Linked DNA regions of Tribolium castaneum. The main gene of each other region encodes a partner of the protein of the gene in region 2 in a complex. Links are inferred from orthologs where the notes say so. Each region holds a gene or a part of one and is shown on either strand. Other genes may lie near its edges.

Region 1 (3,169 bases), on a different chromosome or scaffold from region 2:
TATCAACCACTGTAATACCCGCACACAAAGCGTCCGCCTTAGGTTTAAATCGTATCGTACTGTAGTACCTCAATAAACTACTTTTTCTGCGAGAGCGCCGGTTTAAATTACTTTTAAAGGACCTGCGGTGTTTTTTTCGAACTCTGGTCTTGAGAGTTTGGCATGAAACACTAGAACTAACCATCTTCCATATTGTATAACTTCATTCGCAGGACTGTACATAGAGGGGGTTCCCATCCGAAACAATCACACGAATACAGATTATTACTTCTGTAGGAGACGAAACAAGATATAAAATAAAAGGAAGAAATTTATATTTTCCTTTAAAAAGTCTGGGAGACCATCAACGGTTTGAGTGCCAAAGATATGGTGTCGCGAATTTTTTGATAGGAAATTTAATTCTTTACAACGTTGTTCCTTACACTTTTTTGTATCTGTAAGCGTATTCGCAGCCTTTTGAAAAATATGGGACACAGTGCCAAAAGTTTTAATTTATTTAAAATATAATTTACGATAAAATTTTTGCATTGTTTGTCTTACTATTGAAATTTAATCCCCAATTTGCTTGTATTTTTTTATTGCTGTGTGTTAACTATTACACAAATGCAACCATTTTTTCAAGTTCATTGCTCTGAAAACTCAAGTAACTGCGCTCTCTGGTGATATTAACGGAACTATCAAGGACGGGGACGATTTATTTGGTCGTTTCGTATCCTAGCATTTAGAGGTCCGTAGACACGAAGTAGTTTTATTTTATTATTGAAAAATTAAAATACAAATCAGCGACATGAAGCCATAATGGCTCCGACATTTTCGAAATCGATTTTCTCGTTAATATTTTTAGTTTTGATGTTTTCGTCTTGATTGGCAATGAAAATCAACTGGCCCTGTTCCTTCCATCCATACTTATTGACCCAGACTTTCAACGTAAGGTCATCAACGTCTCCCAATAATTCGGCCAAATGGGACCTTTCAATGGTCTGATACGTGATTCCAACTACGTGACACACAAATTTCCGGATTGAGTCTAAAAATCCGGTAATTCGTTGGGTCAACTCTGGCATTGAGTGGATTCTGGTCCAGAACAATTGAAAATCGCACTGTTCCAAAATGTCGGCCAAGTAGATAATTTGGTTGATGGGTTCTTCCGCCAGCTAAAAAATGTTTTTTTTTTGCAAAACAAATATATTGACTGAATTTATTAACCTGTCGTTCGTTCAAAAGACATTTGCACAAAATAAAATTCGTGTTTGGAAGGTTTGTCAAAGCCTTGAGCAGGATTTGACTTGTGATGTCGATATTGAAGCTACTAGGGTTAAATTGGTACAATTTAAGGACGGCCAAGTTAGCCTCTAAATCGTAGGCATTTTCGCGCGATTGTATCTCCACGTAGTGCTCCAAAGTCGGTAAATTATCAGGGTTGTACCTGAAAATAGAGGTTAAGTCCAATGCATGGTAAAAAAACGTAATAAAAGAATAACAATACCGTTCAATGCCTTTAAGCATTGCTGCCACAGTTTGTTTCATTGCTTCGGCCATGGTTTTCAATTTGTTTTTCACTAAAAAATGAGAAAAAAGCACAACTTTCTCAAAAAACACGTCTTAATGACGTTTAAAATTCAAAGTTTTTGGAACAGAGGCCGCTGTAAGCGATAGGGAACTGTTGTTTTATGTGTTGCCTACATTTTAACTACAGAGTGTTTCATGTCACTACTTATTTTTTGCGGTTCTCATAGAATTTTATGGATAATTATACAAAAAAACTAAATATCATTCATATTTTGTGATTAAGATAATTACATAAATAAATATAAATTCTATGATAAGATTAGTTGCTATAAAAAGTCTGTGTATACTGTATATAAATATATCAAGCAGTTATTCACCACAAAAACAGGTTTGAGTAATTATAAAGAAAAGTAATATTACGCAGCTACTTTTTAAACTGTACAACTAGTATTATAATAATTATTGCAACTATTGCAAGTCCTATCAGTACCATGAATAGCAACTTGCGCCTATACTTATTCTGATAACTCGCTGCTGTAATTAACTGTTCTGTCGCTTCTTCCACATTGCCAGTTGCATGGTCTATGCTATTTTCAATAGTATCTTAAAAAAAGAGTTGATTAATCTCCCGATTTTTTTAAAAGTTAGCTCAATACCGATTGTTTCCGCTTGGGCGTGCACTAAGGACCCCAATTCGCGCATGATTTCGTTAACATCAAGTACATCGGCTTCAATTTGTTTAATCCTAGCTTCTCTCTCCATGAGCATATCTTGCTCAAACGCCATTTCGCGTGCAAGCTGAGCTTGCCGTTGCTGTTCTGTGTCTTCTTCCGGCGTGTAGTCATTTTCTATGCTTACAGAAACCAATAAATGTGATTTCTGCTTGTTGGCCAAGTCCTTTTGTAAGGAATAGTAGCGCGTGATCGCTTCTTTAAAATTCTCTTCTAACTTTTCTACTTGCAACTGCTGCTGTTTCTCGCTTTTGGATACAAGTTGCTTGAGCTTGTGAATGTCTTTGCTTGTGACTGATGCGATCTGGTTTGTGCTCAATTGAGTGACGTGTCTAGAATTAGGGAAGTGATTGAAATTCCAGAAGGGAAAAGACTTACATTGAACTTCTTAATCCCTGATTGTCTTTTCTGGTTCCGATTGTTTTTAAAGCGTTGTCTAAGGTCTTGAGACTTGAGTTGATTGTGTAAATGTTTGTTACGACGCCATCGCATAAATTATTGAATTCGGGGGAGCGCTTACCGATGAAACCTACGTCAGTGGACGCAGTAGCACCGTAATTGTAGGGATGTTTACTCATTGTTGTCTTCGACGCCCCTTTTCGTTTGTGATTTGACGTTTCGTAAACTTAAAACTGAGGTTAGGAGTAGGAAAGATCAGGTGACTTATTGTTATAACAAGGGGGTGAGTTCAATTGTGGCCTCGGGGATGAAACAAAATTAGCTTATTGTTGAATAATTGAAATACCTCACATTTTAAAAATACATGTTAAAAAAATCACACCCTAAATTATTTTTGTAAATCTTGTTAGGTTGGTGCAACTTAAATTTAAAATTGAAAATTACCGAATACCTACCGATTCGATTTTTATTAAAAAATACTTCAAACTGTAATATAAAAAGATGATAACAAGACCCTACCACATAATCCT
Region 2 (2,863 bases):
TGCCAAACAGAAGCTCTCAATTTGTGCTTTATTCACTCCGAAAAATTCAAATGCGCTGTTGCAATTTTATTATGAACTGAAATGGGATATAGAGTTGCGGATTAAAACTTTTAAACCGCTACTATATAAACAATTGCTTTAGTATTTGTTTTGACACAAATAAACGTAAGTTTAAAAAGCAAAATCGAAAAAAAAATAAAAGGAAAATCCTATATTCGCATTTTAATTATTGTCCAGTCAAGTTATTACTTATTAATATTAAATAACCAGAAGGTTCTTTGATTGGTTAATAAATCTTTTAGTTAGTTTATTAACCTTTTATTTTATTTTTATTGGTTAGTTTATAACCAAAAACCAACCTTATTTATTTGCTAAATTAGCCAGCAATAGTTAATATTTTGCAGACTTCTTAAACTATTGTCTAAGATTTTTTACCTTTTCAAAAAAAACAAAACAATTAACTAGCTTTAGCAAAGTTCTATCAGGTATTGTATGCCTTTACAAACCTCTCGAGTTAAAAAAACTCAATTGCTTGGGATTTTTTATTTTTCCGAGAAGTTACCGTAATGTTTACCTACCGTTTACGCGAAAAATGCTAAGAGCTGATAGTTTCAACACTTGAGAATTTTCTATATTTTATTTTAATAGTGTACCTAAGACCTGTACCAATCTTCACCTCTGTTCGAATTATTTAAAACTGAAATGTCTACGTATTTTGTTGTATTGTAGGTTTGAAAAAACGCAACATTAGCTAAAGCATTTTTATTCAATACAAATAAAACTTATAAAATACATTTCAATTAGGGTGTGGCTTAGACCAATCCACCGTGAGTATAAGATGATCATAACCGTGTCCATTAAGCATAGAAATGGCTTTAGCAGCGTCGTTCTTAAACTTGAAATGAATATAAGCGAATCCTTTGCAATAACCGGCTTGTTTGTCTTTCGCCAAATACAACTTCTGGATCGGGCCAAACGGCTTCACCAGATCCTCCAAATCAGTCTCAGTGGTAGATTCACTAAGATTGGTGATTCGAATCGCCGTGGCGTCGTCTCTGCGCGCCATATTGAGATTATCGGACTTCCTGACGGCCCCATCTCGCAAACTCGGCGGAATGTACTTGGACCCCCCGGCCTTGCCCGCATCCGACCCTGACGGAACCGCCGGGCCCTTCTTGTCGTCGGGCACTTTGCCCCCGGCCAGCATGGTGTCCTTCCAGGGGCACTTGGAGGTCCAGTGGTCCCCGCTGCAGGTGCGGCACTTGACCACGTTCTTGTCGCCCAGAGCCTTCAGCTTCTCCAAAGCGTCGTCTTCCTGCTTGTTGTCCTCCTCCTTGCTCGTGATGTACTGCATGTACACGTCCTCGGCGACGATCGTGGTGGCCGGGTTCGGGCCAGGCTTGTCGTTGGCACACTCGCCGAATTTCTTCCAAGTCTTGCGGAAAGCGATCGATTTTGAAACGACGCGCTTCTCGATCTTGTAGGTCCGCACGATTTTCATTTTTTTGTCGTCTTCGTTGTACGCGTATTCGGTCACGATCTTGAAGCCGTTTTCGTACACCTCGGTCGGGGGCGGGAGCGACCCGCCCTCCAACTCCACCTCGTCAGCCCAGCTGGACTTGACCTCTTCGGCAACAGGCATTTTTAGCTAATTTTGAAACGTTTTTTTGGAAAATATGGTGCGACAATCACGTTCACAAAAGTTAACCTCAAACTGTCAAACAACAGACTCGCCAACCTTTGGGGAATTTCGTTGCAAATTATTTATTTTTGTTTTTTGCAATACAATTTAATTTTGTTGATATTTAATAAAGCCATGTATTTTAAAATTTATTTAATAAACCGATTAATAAATAAACCCCGACAAACGGGGCTGTCGTGTTACAAACCCACAAACACATAATTACAGGATTCTGTAATGAAATTTTAAAATTGGGAAACTTATTCGGAAAGGTGGCTTTGAAAACCATCAACTACTAGATTTTGTACACAGAAAATGTGTGACTTGTGTTTTGCGTTCTTTTGCCAATAGTTAATGTTTTGCATTCTTAAATTAGTTAAATTTGTGTCGGGAGTGTTAAATTTGCATCCGTTTATTGGCTATAATAAAGTTTTTTTGCTTGTGAAACTTTCTGTCGCAACTGTGTAACGCCGTAAGTATACCTACATTAAAATAGTTGATATTTTGGTTCATGTTGCTTCTGATGATGTGCAGAAATGCAGCTTATTATTTATAAATGTATTGTCGCCAATTGAGACATTTGTGAAAATTTAGGTATCCTTCTAGAAGGCTACGGCTACGATTCTGTTGCTTTAGAAAAAATCTTTCACAGCCTTCTAGAGAAGAAACATTCTGCGCCGCCTTAGATAAAAAAGAGAAATTGAGTTAAAATAACTTGAAATGTCTCTGAAATCCAATAAAAATACGATTATGTATAAAGGGAATGCTAAATTAGATCTAATTAAATTTTCGTCCATTCAGAGAAATATGTAAAAATTGAGCAACGTGATTTTAAAAAATTTGATTTTGCTAATAGAGGATCCCAGCTAAGGTCGTCCTGGACCGATCTGCTTACTGGATGAAACTTATTTTTTATCAAACATAATATCCAAAGGATGTATTCAATGGGTTGCCAAAGAAATGTGTTCCAAACTATAATAAAGGGAGCTAAAAAGAGTCGAATTTTGGTCACATTCCACAGTGTTCTACAGCACATTTTTTAAACTGATTTCCAGGATACATTCTTTTACTCGGGCTGTAGGCGAGAAAGTTTTTTAAAATGCGGTCACTGCTTTATCTAATTCTGAAAATAATTTTTAAAACTGAAAAAAAAATCAAAAAAAAATCTAGTCCTCTTTGAAA

What was found.
Region 1: eIF3g1 (region 2) and eIF3k share a complex: the UniProt entries of both Caenorhabditis elegans proteins name them as parts of the eukaryotic translation initiation factor 3 (eIF-3) complex. The link is inferred for Tribolium castaneum from reciprocal best matches to the Caenorhabditis elegans genes eif-3.G and eif-3.K.

Annotation. Positions count from the first base shown.
Region 1 is NC_087402.1:8,161,637-8,164,805, forward strand, and holds eIF3k (eukaryotic translation initiation factor 3 subunit K), read right to left. Parts: upstream 1,647-3,169; 5' UTR 1,540-1,646; coding exon 1,487-1,539; intron 1,427-1,486; coding exon 1,207-1,426; intron 1,155-1,206; coding exon 780-1,154; 3' UTR 735-779; downstream 1-734. Other genes in the region: gem-associated protein 8, read right to left, coding at 1-9, 182-191; Syx13 (syntaxin-12), read right to left, coding at 1,934-2,112, 2,166-2,572, 2,619-2,818. UniProt on the Caenorhabditis elegans protein: Component of the eukaryotic translation initiation factor 3 (eIF-3) complex, which is involved in protein synthesis of a specialized repertoire of mRNAs and, together with other initiation factors, stimulates binding of mRNA and methionyl-tRNAi to the 40S ribosome.
Region 2 is NC_087395.1:17,788,050-17,790,912, reverse strand, and holds eIF3g1 (eukaryotic translation initiation factor 3 subunit G), read right to left. Parts: upstream 1,760-2,863; 5' UTR 1,643-1,759; coding exon 797-1,642; 3' UTR 748-796; downstream 1-747. UniProt on the Caenorhabditis elegans protein: RNA-binding component of the eukaryotic translation initiation factor 3 (eIF-3) complex, which is involved in protein synthesis of a specialized repertoire of mRNAs and, together with other initiation factors, stimulates binding of mRNA and methionyl-tRNAi to the 40S ribosome.